Linked DNA regions of Arabidopsis thaliana. The protein of the gene in region 2 interacts with the protein of the main gene of each other region in a pairwise test. Each region holds a gene or a part of one and is shown on either strand. Other genes may lie near its edges.

Evidence for each region.
Region 1: the proteins of CAN (region 2) and CYSB interact in binary tests that used the Arabidopsis thaliana proteins (3 or more experiments, as listed by UniProt).

What each region holds. Positions count from the first base shown.
Region 1 is NC_003074.8:3,959,864-3,963,964, forward strand, and holds CYSB (cystatin B), read right to left. Parts: upstream 2,058-4,101; 5' UTR 2,014-2,057; coding exon 1,813-2,013; intron 1,568-1,812; coding exon 1,348-1,567; intron 1,229-1,347; coding exon 1,083-1,228; intron 1,063-1,082; exon of another isoform or gene 948-1,062; coding exon of another isoform or gene 939-947; exon of another isoform or gene 798-938; coding exon 660-797; 3' UTR 538-659; downstream 1-537. Other genes in the region: NF-YC11 (nuclear factor Y, subunit C11), read left to right, coding at 1-415; HCHIB (basic chitinase), read right to left, coding at 2,638-3,185, 3,662-4,101.
Region 2 is NC_003074.8:20,840,481-20,845,351, reverse strand, and holds CAN (Ca-2+ dependent nuclease), read right to left. Parts: upstream 3,208-4,871; 5' UTR 3,090-3,207; intron 2,932-3,089; 5' UTR 2,739-2,931; coding exon 2,622-2,738; intron 2,448-2,621; coding exon 2,392-2,447; intron 2,304-2,391; coding exon 2,189-2,303; intron 2,090-2,188; coding exon 1,979-2,089; intron 1,892-1,978; coding exon 1,704-1,891; intron 1,599-1,703; coding exon 1,542-1,598; intron 1,455-1,541; coding exon 1,226-1,454; intron 1,132-1,225; coding exon 1,033-1,131; 3' UTR 815-1,032; downstream 1-814. Other genes in the region: AT3G56180 (LURP-one-like protein (DUF567)), read right to left, coding at 25-255, 333-587; AT3G56160 (Sodium Bile acid symporter family), read left to right, coding at 3,811-4,053, 4,106-4,199, 4,449-4,556, 4,697-4,764. UniProt on the Arabidopsis thaliana protein: Enzyme that catalyzes the hydrolysis of both DNA and RNA at the 5' position of the phosphodiester bond. Possesses activity toward the single-stranded DNA, double-stranded DNA and RNA. May be involved in genomic DNA degradation during programmed cell death.

The DNA.
Region 1 (4,101 bases), about 17 Mb from region 2:
AGCTGCAAAAGCAGCCGAAAGAGAGGGTCTCAACCGCGAGATGGAAGTAGAAGCCGCCAATTCTGGACAGCCACCACCAGAAGACAATGTCAAGATGCATGCGTCAGAGTCATCACCACAAGAGGATGAGAAGAAAGGCATCGACGGCACAGCAGCATCGAACGAAGACACCAAGCAACACCTTCAAAGTCCCAAAGAAGGCATTGACTTTGATCTCAACGCTGAATCCCTCGACCTAAACGAGACCAAACTGGCACCAGCCACAGGCACAACCACAACCACAACTGCAGCAACAGACTCTGAGGAGTATTCGGGCTGGCCTATGATGGACATAAGCAAAATGGATCCAGCACAGCTTGCTAGTCTGGGTAAGAGGATAGACGAGGATGAGGAAGATTATGACGAAGAAGGCTAAGTCATAACAGCACTATAGGATATATAGAGTAGCAGCGTTTAGCAGTTTGTCTAGAAAATGCTTCTTCTGTCATCAAAATCTTCTCCTGTTTCCATTTATTGTATGAACCAAAGATTGCATGCACTCTATGAAACTTAATTTATTCTCCTGATTTGTTATTTAAGGTTTTAGAGTTTTACATCAGAAGTTAAAATATCTTACAGAGTAAGTAAACACTCAAAAGTACATAAACAAAGGAGAGGGACTAGTCATGGTGTTGCTCCGCGTGGTTGAGATGAAGAGCACCTTCATGGTTCTTGTGAACTTCCACCTTGAACTTTTCCTCTTTTTCTCCCCTCTTCAACTTCAGTAGCATGTTGTATTTTGCAGCCTCGCCGGTTACCTGTGTCCATGTTTTTAATATTAAGCTCATTAATCTTGTAATCACCAACTATTACAACTCAGACGTTAGTCCTCATACCAAGGAGAACCAATATGTTGCTTAAAGTCTTTTCTACTTCTAAAACTTCAACACCATTCGGTTTCACTGACACTTGATTTCGTTTATTTGCAATTTCTCAGATGAAATTCATGCAAAAACATTGTCAAAATCTGACAAGTTCTCTATTGAAATTCATTTTGTGCAATTAAGATCGAAGATAGAGTATATAGTAAATTAAAGCCATACCTCAGCTTTAGCATGCACAACCTCCAGAAGTTCATAAGGGAACAAGGAGTTAGACCTCTGCTGAATGGTCTTGACAGCCTGCTCAGCAACATGCTTCACTTCTGGATCATCTCCGGGAACTTCCCTCCATCCAGATTCATGTTCACCTGATCCACAAAACCCAATTTTCATAACCAAACTCTTTCCTAACCCACAATCTCTGACTTGCTACATATATATCCCCTGACATTATAATGTTCTTATCAGTAACTACTCAAATTCACACCTTGCTTGCAGCCAAGATCGGAGGAAGTGATAGCAGGGGCATCACTGGCAGGCTTGAACTCCTGTAACTCTTTAAAGTTCAACCACGGCTTGACCCACACTTTGGCTTCGTAAAGCTTCTTCTGTCCTGCCTCGAGAATCTCCAGAGTCAGGTGATGCAGTGTTCCGGCTACAACTTGTTCTTTCGCCTTCACAACTCTCGCAAACTCAAGAAGTGCATTCTACGACGACCAAAGACAGAACAAACCAAAAAATCAATCAATCAATCAATCCCACAACATGAACGCATTTCATCACCGAATAATATACACTCTCTAAGATCTGCTGGTAACTGAAATTGAGATCAATAGAGAAACTCCGGACAAAATTAGTCTAATCGTGTTCTGGATCAAGACTATAATAGCATAAAACACACATATCGAGACGAGAGATGTGAAAAAATCGAAGATGATGAGAGATTTGGAACCTCTTTCTTGTTGTGTTCATCGACAGCGAAACGAGCGAGGCTCTCAACCTCACCACTGTTCTGATTAGCAGGGACATCGCCAACACCTCCGACTAAAGCCATCTCTTCGTTGCAGAAGCCTAAATCACTGGCGATCAGAGAGGAAATGAAGAGGGATAGAGAGAAGAAAACAATGAAGAGTAAGAAACGGCTTCTCATCATTCTCACCTTTATTTGGTTCGGTGCCCTGTATTTTTAGATATTTTTCGTTTTACTCGTCGAATTGTTGATTTTATCCTCTACAGTTAATTCGCCGTGTACCGGATTAAGGTGTCCATTTGGTTTGATGTTGGTTTTGTTGGTACAGTTTTAAGTTTAGGCTCTGATTTATGAAAATATTCTTACGATTTAAAACAAAAAAGGTTTACATTTGATTGGATGCCAATTGAATCGAATCATTTGTAAGAAAAGAGTACCGATTCGAGTTATAGATTGGTTTGATTTGGCCTCAATCGGTTAAGCTACCAACATTTTAAATAGAAATTCATACCAATCTGGATTACACATGAAAACGTTGCTGAGGATAGCGGCACGTTATACGAAACGTGTCGGCAGAGTCACACAGAAATTGTCAAACACCTTTACTTGTAATCGAAGTTTAAAACATCTATGCACCTTTCTTCGTCTTTCTCTCATCTGCTAGAGAGCCCAATTAAAAAAGGCCCATGGGAAATAAAATCGCAACATAAACAGTGAAACATCATTGGAAAGAGTTTTATTAGTCTGATATTATTGTTTTGATAATACAAAGCTGCGTATTATATTATAATAATAATACTCTCGTTACTAAATAGCAGCTTCGAGGAGGCCGTTAACGAAGGATCTTTGGTTGTAACAATCAAGATTACCACCAGGATTAACACCAAATATGTTACAATACCTCTGATAAAACCCTATACGATCGGCGACTCTCCCGTCTTGGCCACGTCCACACTCCAATCCACCGTTAATGATGTTCGTAATCACTCCATAACCCGGTAATCTCCCGGCGGCACGGTCGGCGTCTGAAGGCTGCCACTGGCCGGCTATCACGGCATGGCAAGACGGTTTGGGAGGCTGAGCAGTCATCCAGAACCAAATCGCGGCTTTGAAAGCGATCACTGCGTCGTTGGCAACAAGGTCAGGGTTGTTGAGTAAGTCAACTCCTATTGCTCTACCGCATAGACCGTAATTGTAGTTCCACGACAGTTGCATTGGTCCTCTTCCGTAGTAGCGTTTGCCAGATGCGCATGGCCACGTGGCGCTCGGTTCACAGTAGTCTGAAGCAGGATTCTGTTCTTGCTTGAAACAGTAGCCCCATGAATATGGTCCGTCTGGTGCTGTAGCCCATCCACCTGCACGACGTAACCGTCCACTTAATTAATTAGTATATAGCTATATATATAGTCACAACTCACAAACTTGACATTATTCAAAAGTGTATAATTTGGAAACTGGAATATTCGTAAGTTCCTTGATTGGTTATTTGCGTTTAGATTAATCAAGAATTTCATATTTTTAAAATAGTTTTTTAATTGTAAACGCAAACATCTAAGACCAAAACATTTTTCTTTGCGTTTGGCGTTTTTGTTTGATTTTTTTCTTTCGTTTCTAAATATGAGAAGCTATAATTTTTTCAATAAAACATATATATATATATATATATATATATATAGTATAGTAGTTCTTTGTATATATGAGCACTTGGATCCAAAACTCTTTACAGAAGAAAAAAAGAACTTCAAATTCTGATGTTTTAATAATAAACACCAAAATTTAGCAATTGTGTTTTGAAACAATCTCCGTCAAATTGTTAATGAGTTTTGGGTACCTGTAGTTTCATGGGAAGTCTGGCCGAAGAAGGCGGCGACCTCCTTCTTCCTCGTGGCGGTGTCTCCGGTGGTGCCAAAACCGGGGAAGGACTTTGCAGCGGTGATAAAGGCGTTGTAAGTGTAGAAACCTCTAGCAGGACAAGCGGCATCATTCCTATGCTTAAGCATATCATCGAACTGAGAACTTGAAATGATGCCCGAAAGATCGCCGGTGGGTCCAGGAGGAGTACCACCGGGAGTGCACTGGCTTTGGCAGCCAGGCTGCTTACAGTATGGTTCGGTGTTACCGCACCAGCCGAACTCGCTGCAGCATAGACCGTTGGGGCAGAGTGCTCCTCCAGCTTGGCGACCACATTGCTCGGCCGAGGATAATGATAGGAGAAGTGAAAAGATGAGAAAGAGAAAAAGATTAGTCTTCATTTTGTTCAATGTTCTATGG
Region 2 (4,871 bases):
TGGGTTTTTAACTTTTACCCCTACCCCGGCGATGAGAGCATCCGCTTTGAAAACTTTGAATGAGATATTGGAGTATCCTCCTGAAGCATGAAAATCACAAGTGTTTGTCTTCTTGACATTGTTGTTCTCCGGCAAGAAAACATCCACGGATGTTTTCAGTGAAACCGCTTGAGATTGTTGTACCGTGAAGAGCAAGTCTTCTCTCTCTTTGCTCTCTCCTCCATGCACTTCCCACTTGTTCTTCAACGCAAGTCCCTAAACAATCATACACCATTTCAAGAAAGAGTCATTTTTATATGTATGTTTGTTGAAAAATTAAAATGTTTTGTAACCTTTTGACGCATTGAGAGGATTGTGAAACCGGCTGGATCACGCATAACTCTTTTACGGTTAAACCCCCAAGCTTGTCCATCAATTTGTAGGAGCAGATTCCCACTTGGATCAAACACTTCATAATAATCTTTAGAAAAATTCTGAACTTTTCTCTTCACCAAAAGATCCATTGGGTATGGATTACAGAATTGATCGCTCACTACGCTTATCGCGGGATCTCCTACTTGCCATTCTGTTTTTTTATTCTTCGGCATTTTCGAATAAAGTTCAAGAAGAAGACGAAGAAGAAGATTGCAAAAGACTATGAAAGGCTCTTTATTTAGAGCCCTTGATAATCCTCCTGATGATGAAGAATTATCAAAAACACCTCTTCACATTTTCTTAAAACAATATATCAACTAAAAACAAATTTGAAATTGTAAGATTGGTTTTTACTTTTTCAGACTTTTATTCTCAACCAAAGATTGTTAAACCCCAAAAATAAACTATGTACCCTTATATTTAGAAACGAAACAACTAAGCTAACTTCTGTCTCAAGGTTCAAAGAGAAATTCTCTATTGCCAAAAAAATACTTGTCAATACATAAAACATATACATACTTCTCTTACAATTACAACAACAGATCACAAGTTCTTTAATTCACAATAATCATATAATCGAATAGTATTGTATTGTTGTTTTTATTGGTTTTGTTATCATTAATTGCCTCCACGTTTGTTCTTTCTCCACTCCCATGGCTTCTCTGGATTAGAAGATGCCCACAAGCCAACGCGCTTTTGCCTAGCCTCATTTTCCCACTGAATTCAAAACACCAAAACAAACCGTTAAACATCAGAAGGAATAATCAAAGAAAATTGTAAATGAAAAGCACAAAGGTTTATAAAAGCTTGCCTTTGCGAGCTCTGCACGCTTGTCATAGGCTACATAATGCCAAGCAAGACCTTTCTTTAGCATTACTTCCTGTACAAATTTTCCATTGCAGTATATATCTCCTACACATCTTCCATAACGATCCTCTGTATATACTAACACCTTCAAGCATTTCCCTTCAACCATCTTGAGTAGCTCATCATGCGCCTCTTTTCCATACGGCATTTTGCTCTCCGGTGAATCTATTCCGCTGATTCATTTTCATTCCAAATTTTTAACTCTACATATAGCTTTTGATTGAATATGAGGTTCTCTCTAGAGTGGAAGAGTGTTTTACCTTAGTCTAATTCTGAACTTTTTAGCAAGCACTTCCTCATTCTGAAAACTTATCATCCTAAGTATAACATGAAAAAAAGGTTAGGAAAAATTATGAATTTCGTAGATCAATTTTGATTTGACTTTATAATCAACTTGTGAAGTATATCAATAAAACACAAACCTGTAACCAGAAGCTATGATCGTCTTGTGAAGTGCATCTGCTTCAGTATAATTCTTCTTCTCACGCGCTTTGGCTCTTTTAACCGCTGCAAGACTCACGTCCTTAGGAAGAGAAGATGACACAAGCGGGTCTTTGCTACTAACATACACAGTAACAGTATCACCATCTGCCACAGATTTTGTATCCACCTTATTTCATTTAGAAAATTTCTTGATCAGCAGCAACAACATTACCATCATATCCCAAACCTTTTAAAGATTCGTAAGTTTTCTAACCGGAAGCGTGTTAAGCTCAAACCGAACTCCTTTAGGTAAAGACACAGGAGCTTCCGTAGGGACCTCAACGAGATTGTGAGGTGAAGGTAGTCCATAGAAAGACAAAAGTCCCTGTCAATGCCATTAACAAGTCAACTATATCAATAATGCATCCTCCAAAACTCCTTGACATTTTTGCAACTTGAAAGAACCATCATGATTAGTTAATACCTCAACATCTGCTTTTTGATGGTTCTTTAGAGCCGCGATAACAAGCCTGGAGGCTTCCTCAGGAGTTTTAGGCCGAGGCTTAGCTTGCTTCCATGCCTCAAGTATTTTTCTATACCTTCAAATTAAAACATGTTTTGGAAGAAAAAGACATTAAAATATGAACATTTTCAAATCTTTATAGACAACATTAGCATGATCTGTACCAGTTTGCTTGAGCCTTTTGGGAAGACACAACGTAACTCCCAAGCTTCTCAGGAACCTAGAATAAAATGAATCTTTAGATCCTGATCAATCTCTTAAGCAAAATTTTAAATGAATCTATTGATTTACACAATTCACAGTGAGTTTCAAACCAGAGCTAAAGAACAAATCCAAGACTAAAATATTAGCTGTAGAAAAAAGAAAATTTAGGAGAATAACAATGGAGAGAGACCTGAGAAGTGGTCTCGAAGTTTAAGAGATCACGAGAAAGAGCTGAGACGCCGCCGGAAGAGGCGGAGACGCCGTGAGAATTCAAGCATTTCCGGAGTAACCTAATCGCGTTACCCATTTCTTAGATTTGATTTTCAACAAAAAAAGGAAAGAAAGAGTTTTGATCTTTCTTCCTTGATCTCGTGTGAAAGTCTTTGATTCAGTTATATGGAGCAGAGAGATTGTTTATCGAACAAGCGAAGTCATACGTGGCGGTTTGTTATTGGGTAAGAAGCTAATGTGATCAAAATAATTGTTTTATATTGTTTTTTCTTGCAATCTAAAAAGTATTAGGTGCCTTGTCGTAATCAGGATTTGACGACTTTTTGTTAAACTCCTCACAAGTCACAAGCTTGGGGTTTAAGCAATCTTAATGGTGCATTGAGTTTTTCTACAGCTCAAAATATCTCTTCTATGGTCTGCTTAGCACTTTTTTTTTTTTTTTTTCTTTCTTGAGCAGGGCCCGTAATTTGGTATTTTTGGCTTATAAATGCTAGTTCTGATTGCATTTTTATTTCTTTTAAGTAGTTTAGGAGAACTAGATTCCTTAAAAATATTTATGGACATACGAATTATATACAGTTGATTCAACGGATCTATAAATTGTGGAATGAACATAATTTGAAAATAATTTTTTTTGCTTACAATTTAATTTGAGCAAATGGGCTATATAACACAAATGTACTTCATTACTACATACATTGGACATATTCTGCTCATCAATGCCATGTGAGAGGGGATATGAATGTTGGTGATACAATTAAAATAATAATAATGCACTTGAAATAAGTGAGATTAATTTACTTGGGTTCGCTCTCCTTTAGCCTTTATGTTTAATTTTATGCCCTCTGATTTGGCCCAATGTATCTACTCCAATATTGGGTTTAGACCCAATTGTTTGTTTGAGGCTGAAAGACAAACTCATTGTGATTGGTTCAAATTGAAAATGAATATTCCTATATTTTTTGAGTTAAAAGAATAAATAAATAACAGGAGCCAGTGGTAGTGGGAAGCTAGACAGGAAGTGGTTCCGATAAGCCGGAGTTTGTTTAAACTGAGAGAGATACTTGAGAACTGAGTAATGCAGAACTAAGCAGCCAAACTTTGATCATTCTTCTGCTCACTTTTGGATTCTAATTCTCTCTACTCCCATGGCGATAGCTAGTACCCTGGCTTCAACCCAAAACCCCTTTCTATGTCTCCGTCAACCACCGTCTCCGGGGAACCGCTCCGTCGTCTTCCGTCGCTGTCAAGACCCCTGTGGTAGACGATGGATTTCCAGATCCATTAGAGCATGCCAACCTTCCGACAAGGTCTCTGGTCAATTTCCATTCGATTTTATGTATTCTTCTATGCTTATTCCAAGTTCGTGTGGAGAATGGAATCGGATTCATGTAAATGATCAAACTTTATTGTGAATGTGGAGATTTTTTTTTGTGTTCACAGCTTGGTGGTGACGGAGGCATTTCAGCTTCAGCTCAAAGATTATATTTTGGCAAGGAATTGCTGAGTTTTGCTTCAGATAATTTCTTGCCTCTAGGTAACATTACACATTGCTCTTGCCCTTTTTTTCCTTTCCAATTTTCCACGTAATCCTCATTTTCCCTAACGATTCTTGAGATGAAAGTTTAGGCTAGATCTTTTAAAGTCTGATGACAAGGTTGACTGCATCAAAATTCAATTTTCCATGAAGATTACTTATCACTTTAATGTGATGCTTCTAGTGACCTCTTATGCCTCACTTTGTTACTTTTGACATTTCAATTTCATGTTGTGCTTTGTTGGTTAGCTCTTGTTAGTGGAGTGGGGTTGGGCTTTGCAAATCCGACTCTAGGCTGTCTTGCAGACAAGTACTCTTTCACTAAGATCAGCACATGCGGGATATTTATTATATCAGGTGATTCTATCAGCTGTGGCATAAGTGTACAATTGCTTTGTTCTTCTTCTTTTTCTATGTTAAAGGGTGATGGAAGCAATCACTTTGTTTCTGTCGAATAGCTTATCAAATGTGTACTCTTTTCATGTATTGTGGAGCAGGGTTGACTTTACGTACCGAAGCGATTGGTGCTGCTGTCAAAGGGTGGCCTCTTGGACTCTTTGGGCTAGTATGATCTTGACTCATCTTTAGCTTTCATATGTTCTGTGAATGTTTCCTCTTCTGTAGATCTCTTCTGCTAAGTTCTGAAAATAAGAAAATCTAATGAATAGAAAC